2 linked regions of the Oreochromis niloticus genome follow. The protein of the gene in region 1 interacts with the protein of each later gene in a biochemical or structural test. Links are inferred from orthologs where the notes say so. Each region holds a gene or a part of one and is shown in the gene's direction. Other genes may lie near its edges.

Region 1 (16,351 bases):
GAAAATCTGGGTCACATTGTTATAGATCTCTATATAATTGGATATCTTTGATCAACCAGAGGAGCCGCCCTCTGTTGGATTTAGAAAAACAAACAAACACATGTCCATGCGACTTTCTATGGTGTCTGCTTGCCATGTTGCTGCAGATGGCTTCCTTTATGGACAGGTCATTTGGCTACTTTAACCTTTTATACCTTGTCTGTCAGTCCCATTCGCATGAACTTGATATCTCAGGAAAGCAAAATTTGGCACAAACAGTCAGTTGATCTCAGGGATGAACTAAGTCAAAGTCAAACAAAGTCAAACGTCAGCAGGACCACACAAATACATATTCTTGGCCCTAACTCAAGAATTCATGCGTAAATGATGACAAAATGTTTTGCACAAATGTCTTGTAGGATAACAGGATAAAGTGATAACATTTCATATGCAGCAGGTCAAAGGTCAAGTCTGGTTAGACATGGATGTAAACTTGACTGATTCGCGATAGAACCACATAAATGCTCAGCAGGGCCAGCTGTTTCTTGTAAACACAATGGCATCATTGACCTACTGACTGCTCTCTCACAGGCAGTCAATCGCACAAACAGCCTATTAGTACACAAACCCTGTTGCAGGGTCTGTTGCAGGATATTCACAATGACAGCGCCATGGAGTTTCTGCCGCTCTTTTTGTTTCCTGCCTCTCCTAGTGGCTCTGAAGATGCACACTGCACGCTCGGCTCCTGATTTCTCACGTAAGTCTCTTGGTTTTGAAATCAATAGCAGACTCAAAATGCTGATGTGTTGCTTTTCAGCTGCATAAAGAAGCTTCACAACGACATTTCCTAACATTTCCACATCCTGCTTCATAAGCAGCTGGTCATAATCTTGCTGATAGACCAGAATCAGGGTGAAGAGGCTGCAGAACAGATCCTGAACTTGGATATCCACTTAATACAACCAGACACTCCCATAGCAATAAATAAACTACAGCTGACCTGTGTTTATCATCTGAGCTGTTTTCCTATTTGGACTGTGTCACTACTGACATTATGGAAACAATGGTACTGTATGTTCAGACACAGCCAAAGGTAGTTTTTGTCTCAGACACCGTTTTGTTTGCATGTGTATCTCTATATCTGATCACAGCAGAGATCTTTTGTTTATGTTTGTGTGTGTGTGTGTCTAATAATAGCTCATTGTGAGTGAGCGCCTGGTACTGTGTCTCGTTTGTTCCCTAAAGCTTTAAAAAGCCTCACACACACACACACACACACACACACACACACACACACACACAACCCCGTTTAGCTATCTTAGTGAGGACCCTCATTGACATATTGGTTTCCCTAGCCCCTTACCCTAACCCTAACCATTAAAAATGAATGCCTAACCCTAACCCTTACCCTAAACCTAACCATAACCTAATTGTAACCCTGACACTAAAACCATGTTTTGAGCCTCAAAAATGGCTTTAAATGCCTTCAAAAATGTGAGGACTGGGTTGTGTGTCCTCACAAGTGACTGCTGGTTCTCACAAGTATAGTAGAATGCAGATTTCGGTCCTCACAAAGATAGCTAGACAAGAACACACACACACACACACACACACGCTTTCCATCACGTCACAGGACGAAACATTGACTTATATTCATGTCCTAGAGATGTAACCATAACTAATAATACTTATCTAGCCGTAAATTAAGTCTTAATACATAATAAAAATTTGCATTATAAATCTTCTCAAGGCAAGATATACTGCACGTACACACTAACACAGTGCAGTACAGGAAACACACATGGGAGGGGAGACTTCACTTCAGTGTCTATGTGCTGTTGCTGATGATGTTTATATGTGTGGTCATAGTCCAAAAATTGTCTTGGCGAGCTACACCCAGTGAGTCGGACACCACCCTGTCGACAGGGGACTGAGCTGTTGTAGGGGCTAAAAAAAGCTCTAAATAAGTCAAACTGTTGACTTGTTGACAATGAAAGGGTCCTCAATTGTGCATGAGTAAAGGTAACTGAGTCATCCAGTCTTTATTAGTTGGTTAACAACGGAAAGAAGACCCTTTATTTCTTTCTCTTTTATCCAGGCTTTCTGAGAAATGTTTTTTGCTTGTGAAGTTACTTAACATTGACTTATGAATTATTCAAGCTTAAATTTCACCCAACTCAAGGGATGAACCAGTGTTGTGTCTACACATAACAGAGAACTTAGCAAGAAAACAATTTCAAATTGTATCTTGAGGTACTTTGAGCCGCATGTCGCAAAAGCACATGAACTATTCCCATTTTTTTTTGTTGAATCTAAACGATTATACGGTTTGATGGGATTAAAATAGGATTTTAGTGTGATAGACAGTATGGAGTGTGCCCTTAAAAAATGAGAAAACTGGAAAAGCAGAGGACAAAAGAAGAAGTGGCAGGTCTTAAAAACTATCTACAGCAGACACAATGTGTCTGAAAGACATTTCCTTAAGAAACAGGGAATGATTCAGCAAAGATCTGACGCAGGAGCTGAGCGATGCATGTGGCCCTTTAGCTGATCCATCTATGTTCACTGATGCCTCATCAGAAATGGTCATAATGGAAGGGTGGCAGACAAGAAATAATTCTTAAGAAAGGGAAACAGGAAGAAAAGGCTGGCGTATATGACGCTATACAGGAACTGAACTGAAAGTGGAATGATTTCCTTCAAGAAGCCTGGAAAACTGTTCCTGAAGACGATTTAAATATATTACAAGAAAGTCTGCCTAAGAGAGTTCAGGCTTGTTATATTTGTGTAAACTCTCCTTTTGCTTTATATACTGTATTTCCATCTATGTCTCCAGCTGTTTCAATAAATAATTGCACTTAATTCCCATTTTTCTAGTAAAATATAAAGAAATAAAGGGGGCTCAAGACTTATGCACATGACTATAAATTAGGTGTAAGATGTGTTTGAAATGATAAAATAGACATCATCAGCTCTTTTTCTCTTTCAGTGTATCTTCACAGCATTCTGAAAAACCACACGGCTCATGCTTGTGAAGGGGAAATTCTCATCATCAAGTGTCCCTCCAGGACGTCTGTGGCCATCCTATCAGCCTTCTATGGACGCCGTGTTCCCAGTCAGCATTTATGTCCTCCTGCAAGCACAAACACAACTGTGGAGGAGGACACAGAGTGCACTTCCTCAGTTGCTATCGAGGTATACATAGTAACACTGACATAAACTGTGAACTCACTGTATGATCTGCCTCAATCAAATGCTCTTATGGTTGACTCCTGTTGAAGATAACAGTGGTCCACATGTATTTCCCTGTGCTTGTAGAAAGTGCTGTCAGAGTGTCAGGATCGGCGGTCGTGCCACATTCCCGTCTTAAGTCCAGTGTTTGGCCAGGATCCCTGTCCCCTCACCACCAAGTACCTCCTAGTCTCCTACAAGTGCAGACCAGGTGCACTACTGAGCTGGACAGTCCAGTCACTTCACCACTAGTGAACACATGACTTTTAAATTTATGTTACCTAACTGACAAAGAAAGAGTCCATCACATAATTTAAAGTTGTGCAGAAAACTATCAATAAGAGGGACCTTGGCCTGAAAAAAAGAGCTGCACAATAAAGCTCTTAATTAAAAAAAATCTATTAGCATGTAAAGCTGGTAAATAAATGAACAAACTCTTTCATTTTTTCTATAATTAAGTAATCTTCTTTAACCCCCTAAGACCCGAACTCTTCCACGACATGCATTTTCAATTTCTCTTGGATATTTGGGCATATTGGGGTCCAATGAATGTAAAAACAAAGAATTCCCAGACTTTTTTTTTTTTTACCTTATTTTTGTTTTTAAGAAAAATGAGAGCCACAAATGAGGATATTCGTTTTAAAATTTGATAGAACAGTAGCAGTATAATGTCCTCATAATTGGATACCAGGCCCATGCAGAGCAAAATTGAGTATTTTGGTCTAAATAACGCAAAATGTGATGTCCACATATGTGGACGGCAGGTCCTAGGAGGTTAAATTATTATTTGTTTAAAATATCTTATTTATGTCTTTTGCTTGCTCACAGAAATGTATAACTTAATAAATATAACGGTAACTTAAAAAAGAGGAACTGAACTTAGTATCATTTATAGTTTCTGTAATATTCTTCCCCAGTCAGCCTCTGGTTTCAGGCCCGTTAAGCAAAACATAAAAAGGAACTTACATTTTTTGGGGATGTTTTCAAAAAATATGGGCAGTCACACATGAAACACAAAACTGTACATTGAAACATTTGCATTCCAAACTGAAGTGCATATAGTCTGAATTACATAAAATTAAGTGGGAGTCTTCTAAAATTGTGATTGTAGCTTTTAAACAAAGCCACACAATCAGTCCACTAGTGACTCTTATGGTCAACTTCATATGCACTTTGACATATATTGTAGCATTAAATTAACTCTTCTATAATAGGTTATGACTGGATTACCAATAATCAGCTTGAACAGGAGGAATAATAAATAAATAATAAATGTCTAAAATATAGTAACAGCCTTTTTAACGTGTTTCCCTTCCTTATTACTGGGTCAGGCTGGGGTCACGTCTTTGCTGGATTTTTCCCTATTTCTTAAGACATGTTGTTGTTGATAGCTCATAGATCAGTGTTAAGTAGCTTAAAAGACAAAAACAAACAAACAAAAGCAATCCTCTCAAAAAGGGTGGGTATAAGGACTGCTTAGAAAATGAGCGAAAAAGCAGCCAGTGTCTAAAGACCTTCAGAGAACCTGGAGAACTGCTCTAGACTACTTTGAAAAAAAAAGAAAACATGGCTTGAAAGCAAAATATAAAGAAATGCGGGGTAGCTTGAGTCAGCTCTCTAAACAGCTGTAAAACAAGGTTATAAACTTTTGAAATAATAACAATGAATGCTTTCAGACATCAGATTTTCTTAAAACAGCTACAGAAAGTTCTTGTCAACCTTTAGATGCTCTTCAAAGTGCTCTTTATGTCATTTCATCTGTTTTTCAGAGCACCACCGCACACGACTGGTGTGCGAAAATGAGCGTTTGAGGCTGATGTGTAAAAATGAGACTGTCATCGCGATCTACTCTGCCTCATTTGGACACCTGCTGCACGGCAGTCCTCACTGTCCTCAGGAACCTGGATCAAAGGCTGACATGGGTCTGCAACAGCAGGGGGCTCAAGTGCCATCTACTGGCAAAAAAGTGGAGCTAAAGTCCTGTATAGACATGATGGAGAATTACTACTGTACTGTATTTAATAATTCATATAAATATGAATTATTTATTCATATTCCTTAATTTATAGGTGCTCAGGTTTTAGAGAAACAGCTTTTTTAACAATAAAATGTTACTGTTGTCTTCTTCATTACAATCATTGGTTTCATTTATATTAAATTATTTCAGAGTGTTTGTCGCCTGCGGCCCTGAGGAAAGTGTCACGCAGGTGTCACAGCAGAGCAAACTGTTCACTAATAGCCGATACTCAAACCTTTGGGGACCCGTGCTTCCCCGGCACCAGGAAACACCTGCGGGTGTCCTTCACTTGTGGTAAGTGACAAATCTTCACCTACTCTTTTTTTGGCTTGGATGTAGATGCATAGTATATTTTCTGTATTTGCATACAGCTGCATATTGTGACATGTTTCATTTCCTCTTTAGTCCCCAGATATCTCCTAGAAGATGTGGGTCAAGGTCCAACAGATCCTTTCATGATCTCAGATTACACACACGGTGAGTGTGAAAACGAACGTTCACAGGTTTCATTGCATGCAGCAGACTTTGACTGGCTATTGAGCCCAGAACCCTCTCGCCTGCAGGTGGATGGTACACTGGCCCCACCTACAGGCCTCAAAATGTGTTCTTAACCAACTCTCTGGAGATCTTTGACAAAATACTGGGTATGTGTACTGATGCCTGTGGATGTCAGGCTACAGCCACATATATATCGCTCATGAGTGCTGTAGTCGAAGTGAAGTGTGGGTGTTCAAGCACGTTGGTGGACACAGTCGAGATACTGAGCTCCAAACTGACATGGAAAAATAAGAAGAGGTGTTGAATTAAATGAAATGTAGTGTTTTTAATTTGATTTAGAGTAACTGGAAGCCTTTATATACCATCTGTCTATTTTCTTAATTGCTTATCTAGCCTAGTGTTGCAGGGGCTAACATATATCTCAGCTGTTACAGATAGAGAGGTATGATACTGGACTGACATTCATATAGCACTTATGTACTCTTTACTGGCCACTTTAAACCACAATCCACATTTACTTTTTACTCTGCACACTTTATGCAATTCATCTACCTCACATCCACAGCCAATTTTCACTCACCACTTAACCTGACATGCATGTGTTTGTACTGCTGGAGGAAGCTGGAGAGAATCCACACAGGCACAGCAAGGACATGCAAATTCCACACAGGAAGGCTCCAGCCAGCCTCTGCTTATCAGTGTGCCAGCCACTTGTCTGTGCTGATAGGTTTTGTCTTTTCTGCAGTAATCTAAAATTTGCGTACATATTTCTGTATTATTTCCATTTTCCAAATCATATCATTAGTAGCATATTATCTTTAAAAAATATTTTTTCCTAATTTCAGTCTATTTATGTCCTTTCAGTTTATTATGACATGTTATATTCAACTTGGACATAGACAAAACAGTTATGTTTTTTTCCCCTTGGATCATACATTAACATGCTGGTGGAAAATCCAAATATTAGCCATTATGTACTCTAACATAAATAATCATATATGGTTTTTCCAGGAATGATCCTAATCCAAAGCCAATACTGTGTCTTTGTTTTTACAATACTGCACTGCCCAGGAAGATTTTTCAGCTAAATCAGTTTCGAACATTATTAATATGAATATAAAAAAATATAGATACAAATTATTTGGATATTTGAACTGAAATAGGAGCACTTGCAAATCGATTTTGATACATTACTCACATGAAATGAATTTAGTGGTTTCTTTGAAAGGTCACACCTTGCATTAATAGTGTTTTCTAAAGCAATTTGAGAAAGATGAGCTGAGTGGACACTTGTGGCTTATGCCGGCAAATTTTTAATTTCCTCACACATGTCTCTTCCAGGTCTCCCAGAACGAGTCGCTCTCTACTTTGTCTCAGGCATCTGCGCTGGTCTCGTGTTCCTGCTCTGCCTGTTTGGCGTTCGCTCCACACTTGTGAAAGACGTTAAAGATCTGGTTTCTGACCTGAATGATGAGCTGAAAGCATCTCGCAGACAACGCAAGGAGCTCATGGAAGACCTCTGCGAAGATGATGTCTCTGACACATCACCTTTCCGCCGCCTAACACAATCCTACCGGACAACTGACATCTTCAGTCCATCCACTTTAACAGTAGAGATGGTTGAGTGGGAGGAGGAACAATCTAGAGATCTGCCGAATGGAGACATTTGGCCACACAGAGACTCCAGCCCTTACGCTATTCACAAGATAAAAACTTACAACAACTGAGAGTAAAGTATCAGTATACTGCTTTAGAACAATAGTTGCTAACTGAAATCATGCTGAGATGGTGCTTTTACTATAAATTATGCATTTTACTATAACTTATGGACCTATTATGCTCATTTCCAGGTCCAAACTTTCATTCCTCTACTCTTCTAGAGGAGCTTTGCATGACTCAAAGTTCAAGATAATCCTTATTTATCTTGAGCTGGGTCCTTAGTTCATTCACAGCCTGAAACGAGCCATATGAACTCCTCTTCCTCCAAGCCAACTTTCTTCTGTTTGGGTGCCCCTCACAAACTCAAAGCTTAAGCATTAGATGGTTGGGTCCTAAGTGCCAGAGATGAACTAGGGAAGTCCCCAATTTTTGACATTAGGCAAAGCCAAGAGTAGAAAATAAAGTCTGAATTTGAGTGTTTAGAACAGCCTCATTATTTAAAACCAGTTTAATCTGAACACAAATCACAGTAATGAGGTATATGTGACAGAAAATAGGGGAAAGGATGATAGCTTCTCTTTAAATGTAACTGAACCTCCTAATCTGTCACAATGCATGATGACACTACTAAAATGCATAAAAACCTAATGGTGGTTGATTACAATCATAAAGGTTAATATCACATGTTTGTTGTTTCAATGAATTTCAAATGCAGCTGTGTTTTATGGAATAACAGTGGACGGTGCCACTGATTTAATTTGAATAATTTCAATGCATTTTTGCAGTTACATTATGGAAAAACAGTATTTTCAGTGCAGTGTGTGACTAATAAATCATTGGGTGAGTTAATTCCATTTTTAATGTTTCATTAAAACGTACAAAAATAAAGCTGCTCTTTTGCAGGGGAAACATTTCATATTATTGCTGAAAGATGGAGAATTAAATGTAGAACAGTGCAAAACCAAATCATCAAAAATAATTATATAAATTGAATAATTTTCAAATTTCTACTAACAATTATATTTTGATTCTTTGTTAAATTGTGTCCCTCTTTGAATTAATTAAAGTGATTATATCTGATTAACTGATAGAACTACAACACTGTGCAAAAGTCCTGACCCACCCTTTATTTCTTTATATTTTGCTTCCAAGGAGCTAGATGTTCTTATAATTTTTTTGGTCTAAGCAGTTGTTCTCCAGGCTTTCTGAAGGCCTTTCAAAGTTTTTCTTTTCACTTATTTTTATTCCAGCTCTTGTACCTGACCATCTTTAAAGGGATGTTTTTTGAGACATCATGAGAAATGTCTCAGTGTTGTTGATGGTCACAATTTATGAAGTCATGAATGCAATTGTACATGAATTGTACAAGTAGCCTGGAGAACTTTAAAAAGTTTTTATGATGAAAAAATTAGTCTGATATCAGATATTGATTAGTGGGTAGAGGGATTTAAAAGTCTGGATCCAGGAAATGGAAAAACATACTCAAAGTCTTTGCACAATTGCTCTCAGAAATACATCCACTGAGGAAAGAATCAGTGTTTAAACTGTGAGGACAGTTCAGCTGAAGTCATTATAATCATTAAAATCACAGTCTGAGATGAATGAAATGACTGTTAGTGAAACTGCTCTATCACAGCTATCACATGACATAGCGTGTGATGAAGACTGCTTAATTTGAAGGGGTCACAAGTCAAAGCGGATGAAACCTTGACTTGAGCTTATTATATAATACTACATACTGTAGTATATTCTAACTAGGCAGCTCATTTCTTTCTCTTTAAAAAATACTTTATTTAAAGATATAACACACCTTCAGTTGTTGTGAAATGTAAAACTGATCAGAGGGCAAATGTGACTGATTTTTGAATGCAAACTGTAATGTGATATTTATAATCACCATATACTTCTATCCTTTCCAATTTTGCCAGTACCAACACACAATTTTATGTAAATTTTTAAAGATAAAAGACAGTATAAGTTTTATCTTATTTGAACTGGAAAATGAGGTCCAATATTTAAAATCCCTATATTTCTATATGTTGTCAATTAAACCAATGGCATTAAGAAATATAGTTTTAAATAGTTCTATAGCAATATTACTTTGAGGTGCAGATCAGTCTATTTAACTTAGAGTTTGGAGGTCAAATTTGAATGGATTGTTTAGATGACCACACAATACACTCCAATAAATTTGATAAGAATTAATTTAATTTTTAAAAAACTATCGTGTTTACAGAAAGAAGGAAACGCGTAAAAACACTGCCAACCCCCCCAAAACACATAACCTCCTTGGTGGCGGTAATATTAAAAAAAAAAATGTAAAAGCGATTGTATTAGTTACACCTCATGCCTATTAATGTGGGACAAAACACCTTTCGGACATTTTTAATCCCCCAAAGAGGATGTGTGAAACTGGAAAGTAAATTATATGCAGATAATATTGTTTTACCACACGATGTCGCAGGGGTTTCTTTATATTTGTCAGGGCTGGGAGGCTTACTCACTTAGTATTGCACTCCGATGCAGAAGATGGCGTTATTAAGCTCATACTCGAAGCCAACTGCCGCAAAAAACCAGGATGATGAGTCCTTAAGCAGGGAGAGGAGCGGCAGGAGGAGGGAGTCCACCACATATCAAACTCTGTGCTGTAGCATATGCGGCTAAATCATAAAACTGCCAGCTAAAGCTATGTAGCCTGTGCAACCTGCTCTCTGGCATTCACGGGGACACGAGAAGAGCCGGGGTTTTCTTCTTTCTTTTTAAAGTTTCTAACTGTGATATTTTTAATACTATCCGGGAACAGCAGCAGCAGCAGCAGCAACAACAACAACAACATCATCAGCTGGCGTTTAGCATTAGCGGCCAAGCTTCCCGGAAGGAGGCCGCCGCAGCGCCGGGTGGAGGTTTAACTTTCCCTGCCCTGACGTCCGCACCGAAGTGATATAAACCCAAATGATAAACTGATATTTATTTCCTCTCGGTAAGAATGGATTCCTCTTTGGGGATATGCGGCGAGGAATGCTTGGCAATATCCTTTCTGAGTTCTGGTATTTTTGGGCTTGTTTTTTTTGGGGGTTTTAGCTTGTTAGCTAACGTTAGCTTTTAGTGAAGCCCATTAGGCAACGTTAGTAATTCAGTAATATGGAGATATTTAGTAACCGTGCACTTAAATAATCATGTTATAAAGTAGCTACAGCTCACTTTTAATCCAGTTCATTGCTAACCGCACAGATATATGACCAGTGTCATGCAATTAACGCTAATTAAAATCACTTGTACAGAATAACGTTAGCCATCCTTACACCTTTACACCCTTAAGCTAAAAGTATTACCTGCACTGGCACCAGCAAACCCAGCATCTGCAGTGCTTTGTCCCACCTCCTGCTCTTTTCTTTTATTACCTTAAGTTGCCCACCTTTTAACTGGCATGGCTTGTTCTAACCCTTCAGAGTATCTGTAGTGTAATCTCAGTTTACAAAGCCTGGGGTGACAGTCACTAGTTTCTCATTCTCAGTCACAATAATTCCTTGATTGTGCTGCTCACACTGTAAAATGCCTGGAGGTGAGGTCTGGCCAGAAGGAGCCCAGACTCCTGTCACTAATTGAACGCGGTGGAGAGTTTATGTAAGTATCAATGAACCAAATGACTGAAAAACAATGTGATTTTTGTCAAGCAGTAGATAAACCTATTGAGAATCATAAGTAGTGGTGATGAGTTGTTGAAACAATTTGAACACTCTTAGGCATTTACTGCAGCACCTAGTTTGTGAGAACTCGTAAAGCTGTGGTTTATAGCATATCTGAGGTGTCTGCGCTACTCTGGGTTTGTCTTTTATATTTCCTCCTATCTCTGACCCACAATTGCTGTGATATCGGTATGGTTCAAAATACACTCTGTTAGGTCAGAAAGGTGTGTGCCATGATAGCGTCACACTGAGTACTTGGCAGGATGATAGATAATTATATAGTTTAACTGGCCACTTGGTTAGGTACTAATAAGATGGCAGTAACTCAGTGCAGTAAGGCATGTAAATATGGTCAAGAAGCCCTGCTGAAGTTCAAACTGAGTATCAGAACACGAAAAAGAGGTTATTTATGTGACTTTTATTGTAGTGTGGTTGTTGGTGCCTGATGGGCTGGTCTGAGTATTTTAGAAACTGCTAATCTACTGGGATTTTCCAGCACAGTCATCTTTAGTGTTTACAATGTGTGGCCTGAAAAAGAGAAAATATCCAGTGAGCTGTAGTTCTGTGGGCAAAAGTGCCTTGTCAGAAGTCTGACTGGTCAGACTGCTTTTAGCTCATAGTCAGATATCCACTCATTACAACTAAGGTATGCAGAAGAGGATCTCTAAACACAGAGAGCTGAACATCATTTACACACCACAGCCTTCCTGCATATTGTTGCTGACCATGGCCACCCATTATGAACACAGTGTATCCATCTTCTAATGGCTGTTTCAGGCAGGATAGCAGACCATGTCACAAAACTCAGATCATCTCAAACTGGTTTATTTAACATGTCCGTGAGTTTCCTGGTAGTCAAATGGCAGGTCTCAATCCAATAGAGCACCTCTGGTATTTGTTGGAACAGGAGGGTTGCATCATGGATGTGAAGCTGCCATGTCTGCAGTAGCTGTGTGATACTGGCTCAAGAGTTGGGAGTTCGCCTTGTAATCGGAAGGTAATCGGAAGGTTGGCGGTTCGAGCCCCAGCTTGGACAGTCTCGGTCGTTGTGTCCTTGGGCAAGACACTTCACCCGTTGCCTACTGGTGGTGGTAAGAGGGCCCGGTGGCGCCAGTGTTCGGCAGCCTCGCCTCTGTCAGTGCGCCCCAGGGTGGCTGTGGCTACAATGTAGCTTGCCATCACCAGTGTGTGAATGGGTGTGTAAAGCGCTTTGGGGTCCTTAGGGACTAGTAAAGCGCTATACAAATACAGGCCATTTACCATTTTACCATTTACCATGCCAATATGGAGCAAAATTTTTCCAGCATCTTTTTGAGTCTATATATAAAGAATTAATGCCATTCTGAAGGCAAAACTGGGTCTAGCCAAATATTTGCAAGGTGCTCCTAGCAAAGGGCCTGTTGAGTGTAGTTGGATTATCTTTTTAGGGTGTTATCTAACCAATAGATCTTGCAATCAGAAAAGCAAAATGATGCATGGCTATGACAAATGATCTGAGAAGTGCTCTTCAGTGGGGCAGGAAGAAGTACAAAGAAAAATAATCCAGGAATAATTGATAGATTTTATGTGGTAAAGGTAATCATAAAAAATTACTATCTGTCTTCAGGTAAAAGATAAGATAAGACTTACTTACTTAAAAGTAGGGGAATTCCTATCTCAGGCTTTCTCATGGTTCATGATTTGATTTTACCTGAGAGAGTGCCTCAGTATGTTTCTGTTTCTATGTTTTCACTGTATAATATCTATCCAGATTTCCTGGATTTTGTTCTATGTAGATTTTATAGTTTCCTAGGCTAAATCTAAAAAAAAAAAAGCAAAATGAAAACTGCCAGAGAATCTGAAACAAATGCAACATAACATAGTCAGAAATTTTTAGTGGCAGATGTCATGCAGCCCAGCTAAAAGACTGAATGCTGCGTTTTTAGTGACTTTATGGAGCTCTTCCTCTGAGTTCAGAAGGACACTTATAAGGACGATGCTGCCTGTGGGGCTGTGGTGATATGGTTGAGTGTTCCAGTCCCTTCAGCTGATGTAAACTTGCTCCACACATACCACACCACTTCCTAGTTAGAGTTTACTCAACAACTTGTGCGTAACACTTAGTTTGTGTACTTTTTACACCCCCTAGCATTTGTTCGGGTTATGTTGTGACAGTGGGGGTTATTTTAAATTGTCACTGTGGCTTGGGTTGTTAAGCTTTTCTTTGCACCAGCAGGCAGCTCACTGCAGATTATCCAGAATTCCTTTGCTTCCTAGGCTGTAATGAGACTCACATGAACACACAAGCTACATGCTCAACTAAATCTATTAAAAAACACACTAAACTAAGAAGTAGTCCTTACAGGGAGAAATGACTAGATAAGCAGATTCTGTGTCAGCTTTAATCTCTTAAATCTTTCATCAAAGTCCCCCCCAGACACCACGTATTCGGGTTTTTAAAATTATTGGCTCAAGAAACTTGAATTTAAATGGTCACCAGGACATAAAGTTTGCATATATCAGATTTCCAGTCGCATCTAATAATAAATGCTTAAAATATTTGCTGATATAGATATTAATCAATATTAATTTTTAGGCATTTTCTTGGCATTAAAGAAAGCCGTACTTAATTTTTTTTAGATTTTATTGAGGAAACTATTTGGTGAGGACCTCTGTCTTAGCCAGTTCACTGTTTTCATTTATAATACTAAGGAATCGTGTATTTGCACAGTTTAGTGTTTTCTATAGTCTCATCTATAGTAGAGGTGCTACACCCAGAGTGATTAAGGTTGTTTTTAAAGATTTTAGACATCCAAAATTGGTTATATAGAAATGGAAACTAGAAAGTCTGATAAATACGTTTGACAAATGTGAGCATCATAAGGGCCGCCACATATTTTATTCGTTGTTCTGTGTTGTATGGTCATTGTAGTATTTTTTTATATTCCCCTGAGGGGTTTTCGATTTTCTCAGTTGTTGATTGTGTAATTTTCAATATCAGACGTTGATTCTGGTCAACTCCGAGTTCCTCTGACACGTTTTTTTCTCGCATGGCTGAATCATTTTCCTCTCACTATATGCAATTTGACTTAGTGTGAAGTGGAGGGGAAGCGTGGGCAGTTTCCTGAGCGCAGTGTTGGCCCCGATTGTTAGTCAGCAATTGTTAGAAAGGAAAAAATGAGCCTGCCTACATCAACCCACATCACAGACTTGAAGCTGATTAAGCTGAATGTTTATTGACGCAAAGCTTGTGCGGCTCCAGTGGACTTTCGCAAGCAAAACCCGAAGGACATACAATGCTTGTTTGTTAATCTTTAACTGCAGATAGACATACGTTTTGCATGTGTGCATGTGTTTGTTTTAATCACTTGATAGTTATAGTCCACCACTAATCTACCAGCATTGCATCTCAGATGTTGAGTTTAATATTTCCATACTGAATGTTGCATGAAACTTGCTGCTAATTGCAAAAGAATGGCTGTTATAAGAGGGTTATATTGCTGCAGGTTGTCTGTATGTTTCTTGTGTTTTAGTTTGATTTACTTCTAAGCTTATGTGATATTAAGCACCACAGAGCTGATTTTAAGTGGGAGTTTGTACTGTTTTGATCCAGACTGGGTGTTTTAGCCAACCCTGATGCTGTTGTGTCTCGTCCAGTGGCTCAGCTATCGATACCCATCAATGCTAAGTTTGAAATTGTACGAGGTATGTGACCCTTTTGTTATTCTCTATTTCACTCTTGTTTTAAATCCTGAGTATAATCAGTCAGGATACGTTTGTGTATTTTTCTGTAAGCTCTCTCCGTCACACCTCACTTTCTTTGACCTCTATTCCATGTGAAGTTAATGTTTAGTCAATGTCACAGCACCAAAAGTAAAAGTGAAAGGAGCTTTTCCATTGCACCTAATGAGAAAATGTAAAGACTTCCCACACAGTGTCGCAGTATGTTAAGCAGTGGCCAACAGTAAGAACCTGTAGAAATACTTGTAACAGGACTACTAAGTTTCCCTCTGCAGACTATTTGAATGGCACTATTTAAGCTCTCCTTTTTTCCTTTCAGAAGCTGAAGAAGCTCTTCTTATTGATTTGTCAGTAGATCGTAAGTAGTTTTTTTTCTTTTTCTCTTCTGATATATGAGTTTTGAGTCAATATCATGTGTAAAAGATCTTATAAAAAGGTGTTGGAAGCCAGGCTTTCAGAGGTGAATCATGACATTAATTACAACACAACACCTGTCTAGCTTTACTGCATTGTTAGAGCATGCCTGCAGCTTAATGTCTTTATTTAGTAGTATACTCAGGTCATGAGTTGCCAGGGTTTTCTGAAAGAATGCTTAATTGGTTCACTTCTAAATCAATTTGTTTTGTTTGCAGAACAGTTTGCATTACTAAGGAGTTTCAAAGTCTAAGGATGTGTGCTTTCTGTTTCCTGTTCAAGCTTCCGTTAAAGTACGAATCAAAGGAGAAAAAGCCCCAGAGCTGCTGTTGGAACTGCAGGATGATGATCGGACTCAGACTTTCCTTACCCAGGTGAAGAGTGCTCAACTAGCAGGTAAGACTCGACTGTTTCACTCATCTAAAGCAGTGGGATAGTTAATTATTTAATGACTCATCTAACATTTATTACAAAGGGTGGATTACAGCTCTTGCTCGTTTCCTGTGTATTCTTGCTGCTGACATACAGGTGGAAAGACTCCTTGGCCTCAGTTTTTGAAATCAGATCCACCTCCATGGGTGCAAGCCCACTTCTTTGAATGTAGCCATAAAGCACAAAAAAACTTTGTTTGTTTATTGTGATTTCACTCTTAGATTTACGTTTTAGCCTTATAAGCTGTGGCCAAATTTCCCACACTTTCTGTTATCAGAAATTGGTGTTCAGATATACTTATAATGTATAAAGGTCTTAAATGCTATAAGCCTTTGTTATGTTGGGAGCATGAGGGGATTATATTAAATGGTGATCATGCATTGCTTTTGCTTTGGTCTGCACCTCACTGTGAGTGCTGAAAGAAGTAATAAAGTAATCTTATCCACACCCATCCGTAGTTTATCTTCATTTTATCTGGATATCTTAACTGGAGAGAAGAGCTACTAGGAAGCTGGATGTATAGAAGTCTAATTCACATGCCGTTGTTGAACTCCTGGCAGCCTTTTGGCTAAGAACACTGGGATAATTGTATTCAGTTACATGACCTAATCTGTACACGTAAGTCCAGGGTGGAGACGTGTAAAGCACTGCAGGATGTGTGTGTTTGTTTTATTTAAAATCATAAACAGTCAAAGTGTATTATATTTGAAGCTGT
Region 2 (15,904 bases), on another chromosome or scaffold:
TAAAAAAAGCTTAAAGTGAGCTGTTCTGGAGAGGAGCGTTGTAAGGTGCAGTGGGAGCTATGCTAAATCAGTGGCTGACCTCTTTTCCTAGTCCTCGTTCTCCCCCTCCTCTGCTATCTTCTCTCTCTCACCCGTCTCTCTTCCTGTTTCTGTTTCACTGCTATCATAGTTCGGTTATAGGACGGAGATTAGAAAATAGAGGTGCTACTCCCTTTAGATCTAACCTGGTTTCTGCCTCTTCTACTCTTTATTTACTTTCACAGCGGAAGGATACGCCGCCTTCCAGGAGGACAGCTCGGCAGATGAAGCAGAGAGCCCGTCCAAAATGAAGCGCTCCAAAGGAATCCACGTGTTCAAGAAGCCGAGCTTCTCCAAGAAGAAAGAAAAGGATTTTAAGGTGAAAGAGAAGGGTCCTAAAGAGGACAAAGCCAAGGATAAGAAGTCAAAGGACCTGACAGCTGCAGATGTGGTGAAACAGTGGAAGGAGAAGAAGAAGAAGAAGAAACCAACCACAGAGGCAGAACCGGTCCCAGTGGAGACCCCCACCTTCAGGCCCATCTTTGGAGCCCCGCTGGCTGAAGCTATCAAGAGGACAGCTCTGTATGATGGCATCCAGCTACCAGCAATCTTTAGAGAGTGTGTGGACTACATTGAAAATTATGGGATGAAGTGTGAGGGCATCTACCGGGTTTCAGGTATCAAACATTTTGATTTTACCATATTTTTTTTTAAACAAACTAAAACATCTCTGATTACTCACATTGGCTCTTTTTTCCTTTCAGGTATGAAGTCCAAAGTAGATGAACTAAAAGCTGCGTATGACCGAGAGGAGTGCCCATGCCTGGAGGAGTATGACCCTCACACGGTTGCCAGCCTGCTGAAGCAGTACCTCCGCGAGCTGCCCGAAAACATACTTGGTCGAGACTTGGCCCAGCGGTTCGAGGATGCTTGTGGTCGGCAGGTTGAGGCCGAAAAGGTGACGGAGTTCCAGAGGCTGCTGACCGAAGTTCCGCCGGAGAGCCGACTGCTCCTCTCCTGGCTCGTCACGCACATGGACCACGTCATTGCCAGGGAGGCAGAGACGAAGATGAATATTCAGAATATCTCCATCGTACTTAACCCCACCATACAGGTCAGCGGGAAGGAGATCAATCAGTGAAAATGCAAATGCACCGTTACATGGGAAAGGGAAGAAATATGCAAGAAGATCATGAGCTGGTGCAGAGAACATCAATTTTCCAGCAACAGGCAAACTAAACATCAAATAACAATGTGGAGCTTTGGCTCAGGCTCAGATATAGCCCAAAAAAACCCCAACCCTCCCCCTAGCAACAAACCAGTGAATTTTTATTGGATCAAAGAGTCAGTTCATCTCTGAAACCCTGGCCCAGTTTAGTGAAGCTAATTTATTCCCATAGGGGACATCTCTGTTGCTGCTCCACTTATTCTGAACCAGCAGCAGCAGCCGCCACAACACTGTTAAATAAACACTTCTCCCAATTAATGAGCGGAGTCCAGGGCCAGTTTAATCAGGCTAAATAAACATGCAGGAATTTGTATTGTGGAGGAACTGGTGCAGATACAATTCAGCTTTGTGCTCGTTTCCCTCTGGTGATCCGTGTGCCTCCTTTCCAGATTGGGAATCGTGTCCTTTACATTTTCTTCACCCACGTGAAGGAGCTGTTTGGGGATGTAGTCTTGAAGCCAGTGGTGCGGCCACTCCGCTGGTCCAACATGGCGACGATGCCGGCTCTGCCTGAGACCCAGGAGAGCATCAAAGAAGAGATCAGACGGCAGGTGGGTTCGGTCCTGTGGCAACTAATGACTGTCTATTTTAGTGTTTGAACAAATGAGTTTGTTAAAAAAAAAAAAGTTTCTTTTTTTGCTTCATATCTTAATATCTACTGCAAAAGGAAATGATTTTTTTAATATAAGCCGATGATGATTTTCCCTTGAAGCAGATTTTAAAATGTTACAACATAGTACATAGTAATGCAGCTCTAATTCAGCAAAGCAGGCCTTTTCTATTTATATTAAAGTGTCTTGTCAGCAGTACGCATCTTTATCTTGGGTTTGTTCTCAGTGTGCCAGGACTCAGTGGGATTCAGAATATTAGTTAGTTTCTGTCACCTGTATATAAAAGAAAATAGAAAACACGTCAGCTTCAGATGGTTTAGTCGATTTGAACCCCAGTCTCTCGGGTGAAGCTGTTTCTTTAACCTTACAAAATGTTCCTTCGTGGCCTGGATTTCCAAAACAATAAAACATCCCAGAGGAGGCGCACACATCTCAATCCCTCCTAGATCACCTAACTTAGAATATACGGAAAAGTTATTGTAGATTTTTTTTTGTCCTATAACGCTCAAATCATGTTAACTATCCAACTAACTTTAATTCTGTCATTCATAAGTGGTTATGCATGAATCTCAGACCGCCCTTTTTAAAAAGATTATATGGTTTATTTTGCTACTTAATACTTTGACTTTTTTGTTCTCATATTGACTACTTTATTAAATGTGTTTGGCTCCTCTACTTGTCTTGAGCTGATTGTTGTCATCAAGTAAATTTCAGCCAATATTTATGAAGGTATTTGTGTGTAGGAGTTCCTCCTGAACTGCCTGCACCGGGACCTGCAGGCAGGGGTGAAGGACTTGTCCAAAGAGGAGCGGCTCTGGGAGGTTCAGAGAATCCTGACCGCCCTGAAACGGAAACTGAGGGAGGCCAAACGTCAGGTAATCTGTCTATATCAGTATTTATGTTTCTCTGGATACAATAGCTGTTCATCCACCCAGTAATACCAGTGAGGGTTTGAATTTCCACCTCTTCTGAGATGTATAAAAATTATAACCTTCATTAAGGTAGGAAACAGCAGCAGGATTGATTCTTTAGTCTGTATTAAATTGAGCTGGGAGTCCTTAATAAACTCTAATGTGGCCCTACACAGTAACAACAAAAAGGCAAATGCAGATGAATTGACCAACTATGCTGTATGTGTCTGCTCTCTGTGGGGCTTTAGGAGTGTGAAAGTAAAATAGCCCAGGAGATAGCAAGCCTGTCAAAGGAAGACGTTTCTAAGGAGGAAATGACTGAGAATGAAGAGGAAGTCATCAACCTCCTTTTAGCACAGGTGAGTAATTCATACAAACACATCGATCAGCAGCTTGCCAAGAAAACCTTTAAATGTCTTCTCGTTCTCTCGATAATCAGGAGAATGAGATCCTGACGGAGCAGGAGGAGCTGATCTCTCTTGAGCAGGTGCTGCGTAGACAGATTGCTACTGAGAAGGAGGAAATCGAGAGGCTGCGGGCAGAGATTGCAGACATACAGAGGTAAAAGAGGACAGTGGTTAAATATGAGGTGTGAACAAAGAGTTCCAGTGTTGGAAGTGTAAAATTTATAATCTATACCTGATGTAAAAGTGGTCAGTCTCCCAGTCGGGTACATTTTCTTGTGGATCTTTAGATCATTTTCAGTGTGACTGCTGATTTCAGATCCCTCAGTGGATGTCTTGTTGTGTCCTTTGATCTGTGTGTGAAGGACCATATTGGGCTGTTTTCAGGACAACACTGGTACCATTGCATTGTTTGAACCCCTGTGAATGTCTCCTCATTAGCAGCAATACCCCTGATGACATTTGAGCCTTTTTGAGAGATAAACGTGATATTTTCCCTCTGGTTTTATGGTCGAGCAGAAATGGTGCATTCGCTGTCCACTCCAGTCCAGGGATGGTCCGTCTGCCTGGAGTGAGCTCTGTTGCCAGATAGAGGCATTATACAAGTAAGCGGCCCAACAGGTGTATGGCCACATGGGTCTATGGGCCACTCTTACTTGTGCTGTTGTCGGTCCATCAGCCAGTCACAGAGGAAAGCAAAGTGATAACACACAAAGAGCTGAAGTGAAACCGAGTGTTAAAAGCAATGAAAAGTGTCCACTGCAGCCACTGCCTGTGCTTTTAATACTCTGTATTTTGATCTTTGAAGTTTTTCTCTGCGGTTCTCCCATTCCCAGTGAACTCCAGTATCCCTCCCTGCTCTATTCCAGCTCACCTGTGAACCAGTCAACATTCGGCAGTCCCTTTAAGTCATGCTTTAAGTTGATTTAAGACAGTGTACTCAGTCGGACAAGTTTACAGGACCATGAAACCAATTTAACACTAAAACACGACATTAGATCCTAGCAGTAAGCCAGCGTTGTGTTCCTTCGCAGTCGGCAGCAGGGTCGCAGTGAGACAGAGGAGTATTCATCAGACAGCGAAAGTGAAAGCGAGGATGAGGAAGAGCTGCAGATGATACTAGAAGATCTGCAGAAGCAAAACGAGGAACTAGAGGTGAGAAAGCATCCAGCCTCCACTACCTGTTGCGGTGGTTTTGCAGTGTTTGACAAAACTGTGGTTATTCATATACCAAAAGCTCAGCACGCTTTTGTTTCTGGTAATAAAATAATGAAAGTATTGGCTGGAGTTTTACAGGATCTAATTCTGAATGTGTACTTTGTTGCCTTGAAGAACAAAAACACTCACCTGAACCAGGCCATCCACGAGGAGCAGGAGGCCATCTTGGAGCTCCGCGTTCAGCTTCGCCTCCTGCAGAGCCACAAGCTACAGCAGGAGCTGACCGTCCAGCCGCCAGCCGAGCAGGCTCCACCCACGCAGCCGAGCCCGGAGGCCCGCGGCGAGGAGCAAACCAAGCGCTCCGTTGCTGCCGTGGCTCCTACCGCCGATGCAGCTGCTGCCACAACCAACGGAAAGGCGGCTAAGGATCCATCAAAGCCTTCACCAAGCAAAGACAAGAGAGACACCAACATGTGAGACCTCTGTGATGCTTTTGGTGGTCGTCTGTGCTGGTGTTCGTCTCTACCGTGGGTCAGTTGTCCTGTAGCGTTGCTCGCTATCCTGCAGGAGATTTCACATTGCAGAGCTCATTAGTTACCGTGTCCACCAAGTGGCAGACAAGGAAAAACCTTTTATATCGTCTTTGGTGTCCTAACCTTCTTTTTCACATCCTCATGCAAAAACAAACCACCCTGAAAAAACAAACAAATGCTAGGTTTAGCTGGTGTAGCGGACAACTGACTACCACTGTAAGAGACTAGCAGGGACCATGTTTTCAAATATGCAGTGCCAAGCCTGTATGAAGGAGGAAGGAAGGGGCAGGAAGGGGAAATGAAGGCAATGAGAGTAAGAGAGGGTAGATTGCAGATTATTTCTCACTGTTGAGCGAGTCAGGAAGCGATCACTAGACCACATGTCATCAGTCCCTGTCGCTCAGATTCGTCCCTTAACTTGATGCAAATTTGATTTTTTCTTTTGGATAGAGACCACTGTGCCATAACTTGAGGATGCCCCAGAGAACCACTGATAACAAAAGTTTTTTGAATGATGAAGAATTTATGATCGGTCTATCTATATATTATATATTTAAGTAGTATTCTGAAGTAAACAGATGACTATTCAAGAAGTACATTAAATTTAAGTTGCAGCTTTTTAGTAATATATGAATATACAAATAAATATATTGTAGAGGGTCTTGTTCTTTTTCTTTTTTTGAACAGCAGATTCATAAAGAGAAGTGTTGCACCTCGCAACTAACCAGTGGATGAAAACACGAACAGCCAAATAACAAATGTGTATTCATCGCTGCAAAATGCAGACAAACAGCTGGAGGCCACACTTTGCTCCGTAGTGCAGTCATTGTCTCAGTTACCTTTGCCTGCGCTGCACTAATGAGGAAGAGCGGGAGATCATATTTGTTCAGTTTAATGAGGATGTAACAAGTCTGTGCTGATGATTTATTTTTTGCCTCCTATATGGGTGGAGACACGCAGGAGGCTCGCTTTGTTTTGTATCTTCATGTGTGGAGGTTTTCTTCAATCCTTTCATTTCACAGCTGATCCGTGTCTGCTGCAAGGTAACGTCATTGTTCGATACTATTTAAGGCAGAGATGTGTCCTGACTTACGTTTTCTGTATATTATTGTAAAATTGCAAACATACTGTATTTTCAGCTCTTCGTGTTTTGTCTTCTTGTTGCTGTTTTCTTTTCTTTTTTTACCATTAATAACCTGTATGGAGTTACGCTACTGTGACTGCCCTGCTTTGGTCACAGGCAAATCCATGCAATCTCATCTGGAGTTCCTGATTCCATGAAACTGCTAGAACAGGCTCAGAAGCTTCTCGTGAGGTTATTTTCATATTGTTCTGAGCTTTTGTAGCTGATTGTTACAGACAGAAATGCTGTGAAGAATAAAGTGTCAGTCTAAAATAATTATCTCACTGTGTCTTTTCCTGAAGTTTACCTTTTCACTCAACTATGTCTGGCTGGACATGTATTCCATATTTTTCCATTACACAGTATCTGCCTAAATACAAACCTGAGCATCTCTGAGAGAATAGAAAGGTGGACTTTGACTCTGAAAACAAATTACTCAAGAGATAGTGGAACCACCCAGCTTTTTTTTTAAATATGTTTTTTTTTGGTTAAGGCTTTAACTGGTTTCCGATTTGGAAACTAGGTTTATCAAGTAGGACTAAAACAACTAAGAGAACAACGGATGTTAGGAACTGTCTTTTCAAAATTAAAGCTCGACTTGAATTCACATAACATGATGACCATTTTCTCTTGGAGGAAAGCAATGGTTGTAATATAAAAGAGTAGATTTACATAGTCTACTGCATTTCAGGGAATGTTGGCTTTATAGATATACAATTAATACTAACCATAGAGCTATACATACCTTCACTGGGCATTTTATTAGGTACAACTTGTTATTACAAGGTTGTAACATTTTTGTTCCTTTAGATTTGGCTTCATTCTTATATCTTCATGGCACAGATTGAACAAGGTGCTGGAAAAGTGTAACCATAAAGATAATGACAGCATCACACAATTACTGTTGATTGGTTGGCTGAGTCTCCTGTTCCACCACATCTGAAAGGTGCTCTATGGAATAGAGATCTGGTGACTTTTGAGATTTTTGGGGACATTTGAGTACAGTGAACAAAAAAAGGGATGTCTATAAGGATATGAACATGTCAGCAACAATACTCGGTTAGGTTGTGGTTACAAAGATTCTCACTTCGCCCAGCGTGTGCCAAGAAAATATTCCCCTCATTATTACAACAGCAGCAGCAGCAGCTTAAATTGTTGATAGAAGGTGGGATGGATCCATGCTTTTATGCTGTTTATGGCAGATACTGACCCTGCTATCCATATGTTGCAGCAGAAATCAAAAACCACCAGAACAGAACGTTTTTGCATTAATCATCAATTACTGGTGAGCGCATGTAAATTGTAGCCCCAGTTTGCATGGTACTGGTTTGGTATTCAGCATGTGAAGGAAACCTACAGTATTCTATCTAAATGCCAGATATAGTCAATCTTCATGAGTTATCTGTTATCTTACCTGGTGTTCGTTTTCTTTTTTAACCACACATTTCTTGAAACATTTACAATTACTGTGTCACAGTCATTCCTCTATGAAAAACAATAAAATCACAAGTAAATGACTGAGAATTGCCTTATAAGTTGCTTATTCAGTTTTAATTGTTATATTTTCTTTTATTTGTGGTCATTTCTATCATATACCACAGAAACCTGCATAGCTTGTGGCTCTGTGGTTACTGTCAGTTTTCCTTGGTGCCCTCCCCAGCTTTCTTAAATGTTTCGTGATTTTGTAAAATTGGCCAGGTTTGGCACCTTAATGGCCAAAATCAAGTTCGTTTATAAGAAATAACTTGGCCCAAGTATGGTAGTAGTTTGGATGCTGAAAGTGAACCAGGTCTTTATCTTGTCAAAAGTCAGACTACCAACCTTGGTCAGTTTTTCAGTCCTAATACAGTGTGCGTGCATTTATTCTGCCAATTCGCAGTCCAAACTGGCCCAAGTCCACATACCAAAAACCCACCCAAACCTGGTAGCCATTACTGGGCTGGAGCCCACTCATTTTTGGCTGCCAGGGCACAGCCGGCTGTGTGATGCTGATCCTACTTTAGTCTTTTATTTTTGAAATAAAAACATCATTGTCACAGTCTTCATTGTCTTTGGTTAAATTAGTTAATTGCAAAAATATGTTAAGAGCAGACTGACATTTCACAGTCCTGTTATACTTTCATTGAACTAAAGACCATTGTATGCACTTTTATCTATTCTTAACTAAAGAACACTGTTTTTCAGGGTAAAAATATGTCTAAAATCTTTAATCTCTTATTTCAAAATATAAACATGTAACTGACAGGCAGAGTTAAAATTGCAAACGAAGTTGTTTGTTGCAACCTTTTCGCATCATTTGTGCCAAAACGGCTGTAAGATACCTTTATTTTGAAAGTCACTCCCGGATGTTGTAAATTTATTTTATGCGCCTTGTCAGCCGCTTAGTGGAGATGTCTGTCTGTATCAGGGGCTGGGTTTCTATTTTATCCAAGAAGAGGGGAAAATAATAGAGTTTCAAGCATGAAGAAACAAATACATTGAGTGTACACTGACAAATGATGATTTAAAAACTTTCCAAAACTTACCATGGCTATAAGGGAGCTCAAGGTTTGCCTTTTAGGGGTAAGTGGTTGATGTTTTTTGTTGATCCGTTTTGGGGCAAATTCCTTTAGTCTGCTGCGAAACTGCAAAAGCCGACAACATGTTGATGTTAACAGCTGCTCGTTTACAACTTAATGGTAGAGTCGGTACTTTGTCAGTTCCGGTATTTTATTTAAAAGAACTCTTCTTTGTCGTCTTCATGAAATAAGTTGGGTATTTAACTAATATTGGTAGCTAGTAGTTGGCTTAAAACCAACCTCATCGGCCGGCAGTCATTTTGAGTATGTCCTCTCGCATGTTTTTTGTAGTTCTTAATAGATTAAGCTAAATCTTTACTTTATAACGGCTCTGACAGTTTATCAGCCATTACGTCATCATTGGAGCCAGCGAGCCGTTAGATTTCTTGCTGCGTTAGCGAAACACGTCAGTCTGTCTTTATAAACGGTGACAGGGACGGCGAGAGCGCTTTGGACCGCAAACTGCCGCTTTTTCGACGATGTTGAAGTCGGGAGCTGGGAACTTTTCAGAGCCTCATAAGGTTTTTAGGCCCCCGCATACCTCCTCAGGGCCCTGACATCCTCACTAAAATATTTTTTTGAGTCAGCCTAACCAACCATATGCTGACCTTACCCATCTTTTGTTACACCTCTGCATGCTTATAACAAGCGGGAGGAGCAGATTTTATGCAGATTTAAAGTCACATAAAACCATACAGGGGTGTTTATACAATTAAAAAAATGGGGTGCCACATTTGGAGACTAGGAAGTCGGTGGGTGGGTGGGGGGTCCTATTTTCTACATCAGATGTGTTACATGAAAAGTGGCACTGCATGAGAGTTTAAATTAGACAGACTCAAAGATTAATGTAGTTACAATGAGTTGAGCATTATTACTGTTGACATGTTGGTCTTTTGGAACCAGAGGTGACAATTGAGAGGTGGTGGGGGGGGTGTCTATCCAGATATTGGTAGTATCGATACCAGCACCGGTTTTGGTATCGATACTAGTGCGATAGAATTGATTCTTAGTTTCTATGATCTAAATTCATTATGTAGTCCATTGAACTGTATTAAATGATTTTTGGGGGGAAAGGATAAAACAGACTTTTATGTCTATTTTATTTATTCTCTATAACCCATTTAAACAACAGAAGTCTTTTTGAGACAGGCACACTTGTGCCTCTTTTCCACTAGTACCAATTTGACTCAACTCTACTCAGTTTCAGCTGTTTTCAGTTACAACTGAGTACCACCTAAAAACCGAATTGAGTTGAGCCATGCTGAGCCCAGTAGGTACTAGTGGGGCAAAAAGGCATTACGTTCCAGGTCTCCAAAAAACACAGTTTCAAGATACACAAAAAGCTGAAATGTGTGTTTTGTTGTGTTATCTAATTACTGTGGTTAATAAAATGTATTCAGAATTTGCAAATTGATAGTGATTCATCTCATAAGTCATGACACACCACTCTTCTCTACATAAGTTGATGTTATAAGTTAAAAGTATTGGTATTGGTAACAGCGATACTGGCCCTGTATTTACTTAAAATCTGCAGTATTGCGCAACACTAATAAGAAGTGGCTCTCTCTGTGAACCACATGCTCATTGGCTAAAGCCTTGTGATTGTGTTGAGCAATTAGTATATTCTGAAAAAGTCAACTTACTAAATGGAGTCAATATTTTATTCAATACTTTCTGTAAATAGGAAGTGAGTGTGTGATATCAGTAAAAAAATGTATACCAGTATTATCTCGGATGATGTTGGATATGATATAGCCACTGTTTGCAAGGAAAAATGTGTATTCCCAGAGTGGTTGGTGAGTAGTTCCCAGAGGTCGCTTGGCTGTTGCTACAGTAGGTGAAATCAGTCGCAAAGAGGATGCTGTGCACAAAAGCCTCTTTGTTATTGCTTTGGTGGCTAGGAGATTGTTGCGCTCACCTGGAGTTAGCATGAAAGATGCTGACTACAACTGGAACCTTTTGCAACCACAAGAGTTGCCCCCTGCTGGCCGTTAGTAAGAATGCAGGTGAAGTAGTCATTGTGAAGACCCTTTATATAAGTAAAAGTGATTATAGTACAAAAGTTTTACCATCAAAATATATTTAAGATATCTAAAGTGAAAGTTCGTGTTACACAGAATCATACACCGTGTATTACTGGATAATTTCACGTTATCATTTTAATGACTTAAATACTGCTGTTGCATACTTTTGTATTTGCTACGGTTGCATAATCCACTAGGTTCAATAGTGACCGCCCTCTGTGTGTGCATGTCCTGTGACTGATTCTGTTTGCAGGACACTGGAGTTGGGAAATCCAGCATTGTTTGCCGATTTGTCCAGGATCATTTCGATCACAACATAAGTCCAACCATAGGGTGAGTGTTAACCAGGAGAAGGCTTCAGCAGCAGGAAACTAATCAATTGTGTTTGGAAACAAAGCTGAAGTAAAGATGTTCAGAAATGTACAGGGAGATTCAGCCAGTTAATCAGTAATCTGGCTGAATGAAACTATGCGCAAGCTCAAGCCACATCATTTGTACTAATGGGTAGATTGATAATCCTATGAACTGTCTATAAACTACAGAAGTTAAACCTAATGATAGAAGAACTGATTACTCAAGAGATAAAACTGAATGTACCTTCCTTCCCTTGGGTCTTTTATCTTAACTGAATACATAGATTTTAAAGGAATTGCACAAGCCACTATTACCACACTGTTAAAACTTAACAGCCGTTTTATTACTATTTAGTATTTCTTTAGTCCACACTAAAATTGGGCTGATTGGTGATAGTCATAACCTCCTAGACAATGTAGAACATGCACAGCTCAGCCAAAAGGTCTCCTTCCTGTAAGGAAAACCTCAGCAGGTAACACATAGCTTATTCTAAACAAACTTTAGCAACTGAAATAAAGACAAACCCACCTGGGAGTCATCCTGTTTCAGCCCCACAACTCCAATAATTCTCATAAGGCATTTTCATTTCATTACAAATATGTGATGTAATTACATTTTTAAAGTACAAATTTTAGTTAAGTGTTTGCAAGCTCTAATGCACAAATTACAACTTCTGTAAGCCTGAGAAAAAAAACCTTGATTTTACTAGGTCATTGCATCTGACATGAAAAAACCCACTTTGGAGTAACACTTTTAGACAAAAAGATTATAGAATTTTATAAAAATGATAGTTTTTTTTTTAGTACTTGGTGCAATAAACACTAAAATAAACTGATTATTACCTGTAACTTCAGCTTTTGCCATCTATACCAGTCTTTAAACCCACTGTTGTGACTATGTTTTTCCTTTTTTTGTTACATGCCTCTATAGCAACAAACATGCTGTACCAAACATACTTGTTTTCAGTGTTCTTACTTTCCTGCTGACATGCACAGATTTTTTTCCCTTTGCTTTTAAAGAGTGACCTAAAAAACAATAGCTGTTGTGAAATGCTTTAAATCATCCGCAGAGCGTCATTCCTGACCAAGACAGTGCCATGTGGAAATGAGCTACACAAATTTCTGATCTGGGATACAGCTGGTCAGGAACGGGTGAGTGTACGCAACAGAAACTCCTCATGGACTCGCTGTTAGCTTTAAGTTAACACATGTGATGTTGATTTTCCATTAAACTTTGCATCAGAAAGCTGGTACTCGTGATAGGTAGATATTTATAGGGTATGAAACAGGATGCTTGACACAAGAGTTCAAAGGTCATGAGACATCACGGTGATTAATTTGATGGCTAAGAGAGGGAGATGGGGTATAGCTGAAGCTTGCCAAACCTGCTTACTGCATGGAAAAAACTAATGCGAGCATTTTCTGCTTATGTGTGAAAAAATTATGCTGGGACTTCTGCTGTGAGTGTCTCCTAATACATTTGACTGACTGATCTTGTGTGATCAGTGATGCTGATGGTAAACATCTGTGAACAATACAACTGTGGACACTCTTGAAATATTGATGTCACTGTAGTGTAGTGTTATCATCATGACTGTGGGCTTGCTGATTAAACCTGTGACGTCTGAGTAATTAATATAATTTAAAAAACATGCCATAATATTTTATTCTACATTTATTATCATTCAAACACCATTTTAAGCAGTCTTTTTAGTCTGCTTGTTTAAACACACACTTCCCCTACCTGACATTTTTGGGATACCATTTAGATACCAAATGTAACTGAATATGTCAGTGTTTCTCAAACTTTTCAAAATGAGTACCACCTCATAAAATATATGGCTCTTAGAATACCACCCTTATGACTGACATTAAAGTAAAATAGTATACGCCTATTTAATACCATATAGTTTACATGAGACAATTTTATTTCTTATATAAATGTTATTTATTTTAACTGTCATAAACAGGATGTGACAAGTGATAATAATAACAAATGTACTGCATTAAAACATTCACAGCAGGTGGGATATCTGGTCTTTAAGTGATGACCACAGTTTGAGAACCACTGGAATATGTTATTTGAAGGCACTGATAATGTTTTTAAATTTCTTATTTAATTGGCCACACATTGTCTACTTTATTAAAATACATACGATTTCCACCAATTGACTTTTTTTGTATGATTGTTGAGTTAACTAAACTGCTGCAACTTTGAGATGAAGTGTATCTTCTCTTATCACTGGCAATGGATATATAGTTGTACTGATGATAATACACATTGATAGTTGCTGAAGGGAATGGTGCCGGTTTTGACTGATAAGAGAAACCAACACTAACTTCAGTACAAAATAGAAACAATTTTGAGATGCCATACATTGGTATAGGAAATGTAAAAAAAATACAACCTGAGTGTGATATTTATTCTTAAATCGACATTCCTTTTTGGATTCACTGTTCATAAATGATCTCAAAGTTTGGCACGTGTTGGCACATTTTTAGCCGGCGCGTTCACTCATCGTTTATCTGCAGTAGGCTGACATTTAGTGAGGTGATTTTTACATTCAGCATTTCTTTACAAGCTACCACAGTTTGTCAAGTCGAAGTGAAGGTAACTGCTAAAAGTTAAAAAGGCCTGGGGACTTGAGGAAGTAATTGTTTCCATAAACTCATCATGTAAGAATGTATGGGCATAGTACCCTGCCTGTATTTTATAAGCTTTTTTTTCCCCCTTATTAATCATAGACTGAGCACTTTGGATCATATTTATGTGTGATATACAAAAAAAATGAAATCAATCATGCTAACTAATATAAATGTGTCGTCTTTTTTTAGTTTCACTCGTTAGCCCCTATGTACTACAGAGGATCGGCTGCTGCTGTCATTGTCTATGACATTACTAAACTGGTAAGTGTAACAGGAAGTTTACTATTGCGAAACTGGTTAAACTGTCATGGCTGTTAGCTCCTTCGTAAAAATGAAAAACATCAGTAACAGCTGTCCTGAACATTTGTAAGTGAAGAATTTTGCTACTTTTCCATCACTCTGGGATGCTGTGTTTCATGACCTACAAATGTCATTCTTTCCTGGTTTGTTAATGGAAACTCGTCTGGAAAAAAAAAAAAGCAATGAATATATGACAGGAGTTGGAAAAAAACTGCTGGGCATATTCTCATAAACAATCTATCCCAGGATTGACCCCAATGTCTTCTTGTTGTCCAGGATTCGTTCCAGACGCTGAAGAAATGGGTGAAGGAGCTGAAGGAACACGGTCCAGAAGACATTGTTGTAGCTATAGCAGGGAATAAGAATGATTTAGGAGACATCAGGTGGGCTTCTTTTTTTCATCTCTTTTGTTACAAATATGTTAAAAAGAAAAGTTTCTACAGACACTGTTAGACTGAGTTAACAAACAAATCTGACAATGGAAATAATTTACCTTCAAAGGGGTCCAAACTTGAGGGATTTTCACAGTGAGAAAACTGCAGACAAGAAGTGCGAAGCATTGTGCTGCAAGTCTTTAAGAGTGAAACAGGCCAACTGTTAGTTTAATCCGGGCAGAGATCTGAATCATTGTCATTTACATCCTTATTATTTACAAAGACTCTACCCACGTCCTGCCATACCACAATGAAGTTAAGGTGGTTAAGCCAAGGACCTGTGCATTTCTTAAATTTACAACCACTGGGGTTCTTTGTACTGACAGCAGACTGAACTCTGAGGCGCTTCATCAATGAATAGCTCGTTAAAATGTGGTCGTTGTCAGAAACTTCTTCTATTTTTGTTTTATTGCCTGACAGACTTGAGACCAAACTAAAATATAAATGTATATGTGGCCTATGAACTAAAATAATTTTGACACCTGTGTTATTAGAGGTCTGTGGCATCACTTCAAAGGACTTATTTGTACCAAAGCAGCAACATGAGCTTTCTCTTTATGTTTAGTGATAAAGAAGTTGTGTTATTATTCACTGTGCTTCCAATTATAAGTCTTCTTTTATTGTATCATTTCCTTCAACAATATATGTGCAGTAAACTCACACAATACTGTGCAAAGGTGTGGAGTCGCCACCTTATTTCTGTACATTTTATACATTCTTGTCCCTGACTATTTTCAGTGGACTGACTTTGTTTGTTGAGCCACTGACCTATGAAACATTCAAGTGTAAAAAGTCCCTTTTTAAGTGTTGCCTTCACATTACAGACAACTTAGCAAATAAACAATTTTAAATTGTATCTGTAGACATTTTGTTACTAGCAGCCTGTCACAAATACACATCTTTTGTTAACATTTTTAGTTGAATTTATGAAAGATTGCAGAGATAACACCCTTTGACAGGCATAAAATGGCATTTCTACCCCCAACAAATTGATTCCCAAAGCGTTATAAGCTGAAACCCTGATATATTTTGGCACAGTGTGCAGTTTGTCCTTAAAAAATGGAGGAAACTGCACAATCAGAGGTGAGAAGAAGTGTCAGGCCTGAAAAAAACATGTCTATATCCAGTTAGAAACTCAATTGATGAAAGTGACTGAATTAAGTGCAGATTTTCCATCTGAACCATGTTCTTCTTTTTCACAGGGAAGTTCCTATGAAGGAAGCTAAGGAGTTTGCTGAATCAATTGCCGCTATTTTCATTGAGACGAGTGCCCGAAATGCTGTCAATGTTGAGGAGCTCTTTCAGAAAATCAGTAGGTTTTGTGGCTTTTGTTTTCTCCATCAGAAGTACTAGTGTGTCCTGTCTTGTGCTTGATTTTGAGTACTGTATTAAATCTATATAAAACGTATTCGCCTAAGCAGCCTGCTGCACCTCCCCAGAAAATTAACAACACTTTTATAGTAGATCAGCTCTAAAATCTTCTCTCTTGCCTGCATTTCAGTGTAAGTAACTGTTGGTCAAGTTAAACAGTAGGCTATGTTAAAAGCCTAGGGTACTTCAGCTTTCTCTCACAGTTCAAAAACGGATTTGTTAGGTTAACTAA

Evidence for each region.
Region 2: the proteins of ocrl (region 1) and rab31 form a complex in vitro, tested with the Homo sapiens proteins (2 studies listed by BioGRID and IntAct, with this or other methods). The link is inferred for Oreochromis niloticus from reciprocal best matches to the Homo sapiens genes OCRL and RAB31.

Annotation. Positions count from the first base shown.
Region 1 is NC_031966.2:18,616,973-18,633,323, forward strand, and holds the start of ocrl (inositol polyphosphate 5-phosphatase OCRL), read left to right. Parts: upstream 1-9,988; 5' UTR 9,989-10,370; coding exon 10,371-10,412; intron 10,413-10,928; coding exon 10,929-11,008; intron 11,009-14,662; coding exon 14,663-14,754; intron 14,755-15,109; coding exon 15,110-15,148; intron 15,149-15,486; coding exon 15,487-15,600; intron 15,601-16,351. Other genes in the region: si:ch73-335m24.2 (protein eva-1 homolog C), read left to right, coding at 640-736, 2,969-3,174, 3,298-3,421, 4,980-5,132, 5,378-5,521, 5,633-5,704, 5,791-5,871, 7,067-7,452. UniProt on the Homo sapiens protein: Catalyzes the hydrolysis of the 5-position phosphate of phosphatidylinositol 4,5-bisphosphate (PtdIns(4,5)P2) and phosphatidylinositol-3,4,5-bisphosphate (PtdIns(3,4,5)P3), with the greatest catalytic activity towards PtdIns(4,5)P2.
Region 2 is NC_031982.2:24,680,921-24,696,824, reverse strand, and holds the start of rab31 (ras-related protein Rab-31), read left to right. Parts: upstream 1-8,409; 5' UTR 8,410-8,512; coding exon 8,513-8,548; exon of another isoform or gene 8,549-8,610; intron 8,611-8,784; exon of another isoform or gene 8,785-10,811; intron 10,812-10,821; coding exon 10,822-10,901; intron 10,902-11,991; coding exon 11,992-12,073; intron 12,074-13,756; coding exon 13,757-13,828; intron 13,829-14,143; coding exon 14,144-14,250; intron 14,251-15,503; coding exon 15,504-15,613; intron 15,614-15,904. Other genes in the region: ralbp1 (ralA-binding protein 1), read left to right, coding at 264-695, 783-1,132, 1,636-1,797, 2,601-2,732, 3,017-3,127, 3,208-3,329, 4,207-4,327, 4,505-4,807. UniProt on the Homo sapiens protein: The small GTPases Rab are key regulators of intracellular membrane trafficking, from the formation of transport vesicles to their fusion with membranes.